Macaca fascicularis: one gene and its partner. The protein of the gene in region 1 interacts with the protein of each later gene in a biochemical or structural test. Links are inferred from orthologs where the notes say so. Each region holds a gene or a part of one and is shown on either strand. Other genes may lie near its edges.

Region 1 (4,233 bases):
AGTGTCCCAATCTCAGCTCACTGCAAGCTCTGCCTCCTGGGTGCAAGCGATTCTCCTGCTTCAGCCTTCTGAGTAGCTGGGACTACAGGCACATGCACATGCCACCACACCTGGCTAAATTTTTGTATTTTTAGTAGAGATGGGGTTTCACCGTGTTAGCCAAGATGGTCTCAATCTCCTGACCTTGTGATCCGCCCATCTCGGCCTCCCAAAGTGCTGGGATTACAGGCGTGAGCCACCGCGCCTGGCCGAGAATGCCTTTTTGAGCGCCTGGCCAGGTGAACAGGACAGGCAGAAGCGCCCTCGCTGGGCTGGTGTTCTAGCCAAATATCCTGTGACAGACCCTGTGAGCTAGTACCAGCCAGCCACACTGTTGCTGGTTTTGCTAGCCAGTGTAAAAGGGTGTGATCTGGTGATGGAGAAGCTTTTGGGTTTCGAAGCCTGGGCCTCTTTTATTGTGCCAGTGTGTCCTTTCATTCAGAGACCTTTTCCCCGTGAGTGGATCTAAAATTCCTGAATGGAAAACATGACTTGGAACTATTCGCAGTTACGAGAGAATTGTTGAAAGTATTTCCAGCCCTCCTCACCTTCTTCCTGCATATAACATTTTAATTATTTTTTTATTCAAAGGAAGTTAAGTCACACTTCTTTGTCTTAAGTAAGGCTGTTTTATTTGTTAGGGTTCAGGGCACATGGACTGTTTTTTTCTTTTTTTTTGAGACAGAGTTTCACTCTTGTTACCCAGGCTGGAGTGCAGTGGCGCAATCTCAGCTCACTGCAACCTCCGCCTCCTGGGTTCAAGTGATTCTCCTGCCTTGGTGTCCCGAGTAGCCGGGATTACAGGCATGCACCACCACGCCCAGCTACTTTTGTATTTTTAGTAGAGATGGGGTTTCTCCATGTTGATCAGGCTGGTCTCGAAATCCCAACCTCAAGTGATCTGCCCGCCTTGGCCTCCAAAGTGTTGGGATTACAGGTGTGAGCCACCGTGCCCAGCCTGGACTCTTTATCTTACAAACATCTTCAGAATGAGAGTGACTGATGGCCTGTCCCTGTTTGGTTTCTTCATGTTGTCCTGGTGCCCATCAGTCATAGGGAGGGGTCTGTTCCAGGGACACGCAGTGAGGAAGCTTGTTACTCTGCAGTCCCTGAGGAGTGCTGCCGGGACAGTGGTTCTCTCAGGATATCGCTTATATGGGCAGATAGCCTTCGATTTGCCAGGTTAGAGCCTTTAGCCGGTCCATGTGCTCTCTGTCCCTCCCAGGTTTGGAAACGATGTGCAGCACTTCAAGGTGCTCCGAGACGGAGCCGGCAAGTACTTCCTCTGGGTGGTGAAGTTCAATTCTTTGAATGAGCTGGTGGATTATCACAGATCTACATCTGTCTCCAGAAACCAGCAGATATTCCTGCGGGACATAGAACAGGTGCCACAGGTAAGCCTCATCAGGGTGAGATGGGATCATTTTAGAAATTAAGAATAGCTCCTCAGTGTGCATTCCTGTGGGAAGGGGGAGGTGACCCTCAATCAACATGCAGGCGCCCTTCAGGGATTGCCACTGGGGCTTCTGTGCTCGTTACTGAACACGTTACCTTCCATTCACACTAAAAATTTCTTGTTTCTGGCCCAGCGTAGTAGCTCATGCCAGTAATCCCAGCACTTTGGGAGGCTGAGGCAGGCAGATCACTTGAGGTCAGGAGCTTGAGACCAGCCTGGCCAACATGGTGAAACCCTGTCTCTACTAAAAATACAGAAATTAGCCAGATGTGGTGGCGCCCACCTGCGCTTGGGAAGCTGAGATGGAAAAATCGCTTGAACCCAGGAGGTGGAGGTCACAGTGAGCTGAGATTGTACCACCGCACTCCAACCTGGGTGACAGAGGGAGACTCCATCTCAAAAAAAAAAAGAAAAAGAAAAAGAAAGATTTGTTGTTTTAAATATAGGATTTTTGCTTTTCCAGAGGCAGTGTGTAGCCAGCTTGCCAGTCTCTCTAGGGAGATGGTCTTTAACACACCCACCCAAAGATCCTGTCCCTGGAGGCAAATTATGAGGAAAACTATGCTTGTGAGGGAGTGAGGTCGGCACCGTTCCTGTCCCTCGAGCCCTGGTCATAAGTTACAGTTAGAGTCCCTTATGTTATGCGAGCTCCAGAATTTTAGGCTCTAATATCTTAAGGGTGTGGTAGAAGGGATTTGCAGATTCTGGGCCCACAGCCTAAACACAGACGGCTGTTTCTGAAGAACTTTCCCCTCCAAGCACTGCCTGCCCTCTACTTGATAATATGGCACAGTTGGCCACCCTCCTCTGGGAGACATACTCTAGCATTTTCTGAGCACTGGGAAAGATCACACTAAACCCGCTTGGCCTGTAAACTTAGAAGAGGTAAGAATAAATGGGGGGTTGGGAGATGGGAGGTGAGTTTAGAAAACATGGAGAATTTGGCACGCATTCGTTTCCCCCTGGAACCCGTCTGGCCTCGGAGGTGGCCGGCCACAGACCAGGAATGCAATATGGGTTTTTCCTGCTCCTGTTTTGCAGCAGCCGACATACGTCCAGGCCCTCTTTGACTTTGATCCTCAGGAGGATGGAGAGCTGGGCTTCCGCCGGGGAGATTTTATCCATGTCATGGATAACTCAGACCCCAACTGGTGGAAAGGAGCTTGCCACGGGCAGACCGGCATGTTTCCCCGCAATTACGTCACCCCCGTGAACCGGAACGTCTAAGAATCAAGAAGCAATTATTTAAAGAAAGTGAAAAATGTAAAACACATACAAAAGAATTAAACCCACAAGCTGCCACTAACAGCAGCCTGTGAGGGAGTGCAGAACACCTGGCCGGGTCACCCTGTGACCCTCTCACTTTGGTTGGAACTTTAGGGGGTGGGAGGGGGTGTTGGATTTAAAAATGCCAAAACTTACCTATAAATTAAGAAGAGTTTTTATTACAAATTTTCACTGCTGCTCCTCTTTCCCCTCCTTTGCCCTTTTTTTCATCCTTTTTTCTCTTCTGTCCATCAGTGCATGACGTTTAAGGCCACGTATAGTCCTAGCTGACGCCAATAATAAAAGACAAGAAACCAAGTGGGCTGGTATTCTCTCTATGCAAAATGTCTGTTTTAGTTGGAATGACTGAAAGAAGAACCACTCTTTCTGTGTTCTTCGTATATACACACAAAAAGGAGCGGGCAGGGCAGCTCGACACCTTTGCTGTTTAACTTCCTCCAGAGGAGGGGGCTTGTAGGAATCTGCCTTCCAGCCCAGACCCCCAGTGTATTTTGTCCAAGTTGGCAGTAGAGTGGGGTAGAAGGAAAGCATGTCGCTGCCTCCATGGCTTCCCTAGAAAGCCTGCCTGGGCCGGGCAGCGTGGTGGCTCACGCCTGTAATCCCAGCACTTTGGGAGGCCAAGGTGGGTGGATCACAAAGTCAGGAGTTCGAGACCAACCTAGCCAACATGGCAAAACCCTGTCTGTACTAAAAATACAAAAATTAGCTGGGTGTGGTGGCATGCGCCTGTAATCCCAGCTACTCGGGAGCCTGAGGCAGGAGAATCACTTGAACCTGGGAGGTGGAGGTTGCAGTGAGCCGAGACCATGCCATTGTACTCCAGCCTGGGTGACAGAGCGAGGCTCCATCTCAAAAAAAAAAAAAAAAAGCCCTCCCAACAGCCTGTCTCTTTCCACTTTGTTGGCCCTTCCAGTGGGATTATCGAGCATGTTGTTTTTTCATAGTGCCTTTTTCCTTATTTCGAGGGTTGCTTCTGAGTGGTGGTGTTTTTTGTTTTTGTTTTTGTTTTTAATTTGTTTTGTTTTAAAATAAGTTAAAGACAGTCCAGAGCTTTTCAGCCAATTTGTCTCCTACTCTGTGTAAATATTTTTCCCTTGGGGCAGGGTAGAGCAAGGGAGACAAGCAGGAGTACAAGGTGAAGCATTCTCCTGCTTGTACTAAGCCAGGAGGCTTTAAGCTCCAGCTTTAAGGTGTGTGAGCCCCTTGGGGGTTCAGGGAACTGCTTGTCCAGGTTGCAGTGTGAGTGTGACGGGCCACCGGGGCAAGAGGGAAGGTGACCACCCAGCTCTCCCACATCCCACTGGATCTGGCTTACAGGGGGTTGGAAGCCTGTCCTCACTGTCTCAGGGGTTGTGGCCCCCACCCCATCACTATATGCACCCCTGGAACCAGCAAGCCCCAGACAAGGAGAGCGAAGGAGGAAGTCATGGGAACGCAGCCTCCAGTTGTAG
Region 2 (4,969 bases), on another chromosome or scaffold:
TGCTATGGAAACCAGGAAATAGAAACAGCACTCTAATCATTCCTTTAGACAACCATGGCTGTGTGTGTGAGTGTGTGTGTGTGTAAAACTTTTTAAATTCATTAATTTATTCACCTTTTATTGAAAGCTGTTACTGAACCCAAAATCTGTAATTGATCTGTCCATAAATAGGCCAAGTGCCTTATAACCAGTAAATTTGTTTTTTTGTTTTTGTTTTTGTTTTTGTTTTAAATGAGCTGTAGTCATTGATAAATTATGCCATGCAGTATCAGGAAATCTCCAGTCAGGTCGCATTGTTTATTTAGCCAGCGGAGGCCTCTTGGTATGGTGTGAAGGACACCTGACTGGGCTGAGAGCTAAGTTCTAACCTTGCCCCTCTTACTAACCAGATGTGTGACTCTTCCGGGAACTCTTAGGGACTCAGTTTCTTTACCTGCAAATGGTTCAATTCAATAGTAACGTAACGGGAACTTTCCTTTTCCATAAAACTGGGGAATCACGAGATAATCTCTTTTGAAGATTGAAATCACTCTTATGTAACTTCTGGTAATGCCTGGCACTTGGGAAATGATAACTATTCTCACTGTATTTTTCTATCTTCCATTCTGTAGTAAATAAGACCTGAACCTGCATAGTAACTGTTATTTTAACCCATGACTTTCAATAACGAAGAGATCTATGTCTCATTATCTATTACCATGATTGAACAAGCCCGTGTGAGATGCTTGAACAGGCCCATATAAGAGCCGGAACGAATTCAAGTCCTAACCAGCAATGCCCGTTCCTTAGATCCTACTACCTTTGAGTGTTCATTTACTATTGTAGGTGTCAATTTTTATAGCGAAATATAAAGTTATCCCAACACAATTACACCTAATAGAGTACACCAAGGCCCCAAAAGCTCTGTTTTAAAAATCATCGTAAGACTTCAACATTCAAGAATTAAACTTTTGTTCTATTTTGCTTGTTCATCGCTATTTGCCCAGTTATTTAATCAGTCTGCTTCTGGCTATGAAAAAAAGAAAAAGAAAAAGAAATGGAAGTCTCCTCGTGGTTAAACTCCTCTGTTGTTCTTCCTTGCAGAAATCTGAGTTATTACAGTAGAGGATAATCGTTGCATAATGAAATCATTGGGACAATTCATCCATCCACTTCTACCGCCGCCTCTAACAGTGTGTCTGCGGTGCCCAAATCTCTCTATACTCGGGTGGGCGCGGGGCGGTTAGCGGAGACGTGGGAGAAGCGGAGAGCAGAGCTCGCGCCCTTCCCGGGGTCAGCGAGCGGAGTGCCAGGAGGGTGCGCGCCCTGCCTCTGCGCCCGGGGTGACACTCGCCTCCCAAGCGCCAGGAGGGGGAGTCTCGGTCCCGCTTATCTCCGGCTGTGCTAACTTCAGTCTGCCTGAGCTGGGGGAGGAGAGCGCGCAGCCAGGGCGAGAAAACTTCTCCACCTAGAAAGTTTCACCTTGTCGTGGGCGGGGCAGAGGCGGCAGGAAACGCGACCCCCGCGGGGCCAGGCGCGGCGCGGACGGCAGGAAGGGCGGGGGCCGATTTCCCTCTGGGTGGTGCCAATCCCCACCTCAGCGGTCCTCGGAACCCGCGGACTAGGCGGACGGACAGCGCGCGAGGCAGACGTACACGTGCTGGGGCGGGCAGGCGAGCGCCTCGGTCTGGTCGCCTGGCGGTGCCTCCGGCCCCAACGCGCCCGGGCCGCCACGGGCCGCGCGCGCCGATGCCCGGCTGAGTCACTGGCAGGGCAGCGCGCGTGTGGGAAGGGGCGGAGGGAGCGCGGCCGGCGAGCGGGCGGGCGGGGCGCTGGGCTCGGCCCGGCCGCAGGTGACCCGGAGGCCCTCGCCGCCCGCGGCGCCCGGAGCGCTTTGTGAGCAGATGCAGAGCCGAGTGGAGGGCGCGAGCCAGATGCGGGGCGACAGCTGACTTGCTTCGAGGAGGCGGGGAGGCGCGGAGCGCGCGGGTGGTCCTTGCGCCGCTGACTTCTCCACTGGTTCCTGGGCACCGCAAGGTAAAACTGCAGCCCCTTTCAAATCCCGCACCCCAGCCCTCGCCCCAGCGGTTCTGCTTTCTTTGTTCCCCTAAGAGACCTGACTGCTGTTCCAGGGGGAAAACCACGGAGGTGGGCTAGAGTTTACGGGCTTCGGAAACTGAAGAGACGTGGCCAGGGGAGGACGAAACTAGAATGGGGCTTGTCGTTTTAGGGTGTTGCCTCTGATGGCCACCTGTATGACTTAGGAGGGAGAGGGGCACTGGGACAGTGGGTAATGTATGACTGTTATGGCCCAGCAAGTTTTAAAGCTGGGATCTGACTCAGCCCTTACAAAAAGGATCCGGTCATCCTCGTCCCACCGTGATGCAGCCCGCAAGGTTTGAGCCTAGCTGTTTCCTTGTTCCCAGCCTTGCTTTATCTGTGTTATGCTGGGGTCCTTCCAAGGGGTAGGTGTTTCTGTGAAAGTCTGAATTCATTTCTGGCAATCACGCGGGGCTTGTGATCCATCAATTTTCCATCGTACCTTATCTCTTTCTGGGGCTTGTGGAGGACATCTATCTTATTAGGTGAAATAGATTATAACCAGAGGCTGGGCAATGTGGCCAGTCGTAGTGCTGACCCGATAATTAAAGCACCAGTGAAAGTACTTTCCCTGACTATTGTCAATGCAGAATTTACTCCCAAGTACGGTTTCCCATTCATATCTTTCATGTTTTAAAAGAGCCATTTGCTAATTTGGCAGTTGGAGAGGGCTCCAGTGGCTCACGCATGAATAGTTGCCCAGTGTATTTTACCTTATCACAGTTTTATGTTCAAAGGAGCCCTCGGGCAGAATGAAATATTGTCAACTCTCTTAGGCAAAATAATCAAGATACTTTAATTGCTATGTTAAGATGGTCCATGGATGTGAGAGGATTGTAAAAACTGACGTTGGAGGCAATATAGACTATCTGGACCCTCTCTTGAATTTTAAGAAGACTGTTCACATTCTGTAGCTTTGGGTGGAGGTTTATTCTGTCGCTTCCATCAGCCAGACACATGCACATTGCCATGCAAATAGATTCAGAAAAACATTATATCCCCTTACAGCTAAACTATTATAGCTGACTAATGAATTTTTTCTGCATGAAGATGATCTGAAAATGATGTACATCGTGTTTCTATGTGCTACAAGGACATAAATTGCATTTTTATGTAAATAGTGTAAGTGGTGCTTGGATTATTTACAGGTACATAGCTTTCCTTGCTTGTTTTAAGCTAATTGAGCTTTGTTTTGAACATGTAAACTTCCATAATGGAACATAAGTGAGGTACTTTGGTTCCTATCATTTGCAAGTCTGTGGTGTATTCAATGTTCATTCTTTTTAAACTGCTGAATAACAGAGGGAAAATTTACATCATTCATAAGAAATTTTTGTAGTACGAAAAATGTGTCTGATAGCCTATAAAATGTGCTGGTGTTTTAAAAATTCTATTCAGTTTTCAAACTTAATGGTGCATAAGCTATAGTTATTAACTTAAATATGTTTTGCTTTTAACATGATGGAATTTGTGGCATATAGAAGATGGTCTACCGACTACTGCTTTTTCAAAATTGCTTTGTTCTTGATACATGGCAATAGGGGTTTACATCAGATGTATACTACATGCTTTCAAAATTAGTGGATGGAGTTTATCTTCATGATAAAAATGTAGCAGATTAATCACAGCCAGTCAATATGAAAGCTCATAACTAATATTTTCACTACTTTTAAACCTATAATAGAGAAAAATGACCCTTTGCTAAGCAGGAGAAATACCCATATTTTATAAATTCCTTTTAAGACTATGTAAGTATATGCCTTGCATTAATCTTGAAGTCTTTAAAAAAATTTTGTCTGAATGAAGGCTAAACTAAGAAATACATTTCAAAACTCAATTTCCTTAGCTGTTGTGAAAATAGCGTTTGAAATAGCATTAGTCTAATTATCCTTCTGCAGAACTACATAATAGTCTCAAATACACTTTTTCTCAAATGTGGTCATCTCAAAACAAGGTGAATAACTCAGAGGGGCTAATATCCTCTAACTGGCTCATTTTCTCCAAGTGGCTGCACCAAGGACGTGATGACACCCCCATGGTGAGCACAGTTCCTCACACATTCGGATTACCTCCCATTTCTCTGTCCTCTTCCTACTCAACCTTTTCCTTTGGTTTGGTCAGAGCTGCTTTCAAGGCCTTCTGTGCCCCCATTTCTCCAGCCCAGTTTGCTGGTTTCTTCTTTAGGCATTAGGCTTAGTGATTCTCACCAGAGCCATCTACGCTTTCTTTTCCATGGTCTAAATCCCTAAGATTTCCTTGTTCTGCTGTGTTTATTCATGGGATACTCAATTTCCTCATTGTGCCCTCTTAAGGGGAGAAAATGTATATAGAAACTCAAGTGTCAGGAAGTGAGCCTTCTTTTCCTGGCTGGTATATGCTGAAACTAGTATTTTTGACACCAAGCCCTCAGGGCAGAGTTTCTTCATGGGTTTTGCTCAGTGCAAAATAAATAGTCACTTCTCAGTAATAGATGATAGATACACTGACTAATGTTAGTTCAGAATCACTCTGATGATGTGTTCTCAACTGACACTGAGCTGCTGCCAGATCCACATTTGCCCAAACAAAAATAGCTAGGACCTATAGGTTGAGTATCATATGTGCTAGGTACTACAGCATTTTCTTTAAAAGAAAAAAATGGAATCTGCCCTTGAGAAGTTTACAATCTAGATATACAGACAAACATCACATATAAAATGAACCCAAATTCATAATTATTAAGAGGACATCACACGAGAAACACTTTTGAAATCATCCTATTTGCTATGAAATAATAGAATTTTTTTTAAAAAATCAAAGATTGGAACTTGAAAACCTTAAGATTTTCAGGCTGCTTCTGCATACATCATCTTTCTGATACCAAAACAACCTTACAAGATAGGCAAGTCTG

Evidence for each region.
Region 2: the proteins of GRB2 (region 1) and MET form a complex in vitro, tested with the Homo sapiens proteins (3 studies listed by BioGRID and IntAct, with this or other methods). The link is inferred for Macaca fascicularis from reciprocal best matches to the Homo sapiens genes GRB2 and MET.

Annotation. Positions count from the first base shown.
Region 1 is NC_088390.1:81,722,496-81,726,728, reverse strand, and holds part of GRB2 (growth factor receptor-bound protein 2), read left to right. Parts: intron 1-1,264; coding exon 1,265-1,433; intron 1,434-2,536; coding exon 2,537-2,722; 3' UTR 2,723-4,233. UniProt on the Homo sapiens protein: Non-enzymatic adapter protein that plays a pivotal role in precisely regulated signaling cascades from cell surface receptors to cellular responses, including signaling transduction and gene expression.
Region 2 is NC_088377.1:158,137,098-158,142,066, forward strand, and holds the start of MET (hepatocyte growth factor receptor), read left to right. Parts: upstream 1-1,597; 5' UTR 1,598-2,016; intron 2,017-4,969. UniProt on the Homo sapiens protein: Receptor tyrosine kinase that transduces signals from the extracellular matrix into the cytoplasm by binding to hepatocyte growth factor/HGF ligand. Regulates many physiological processes including proliferation, scattering, morphogenesis and survival.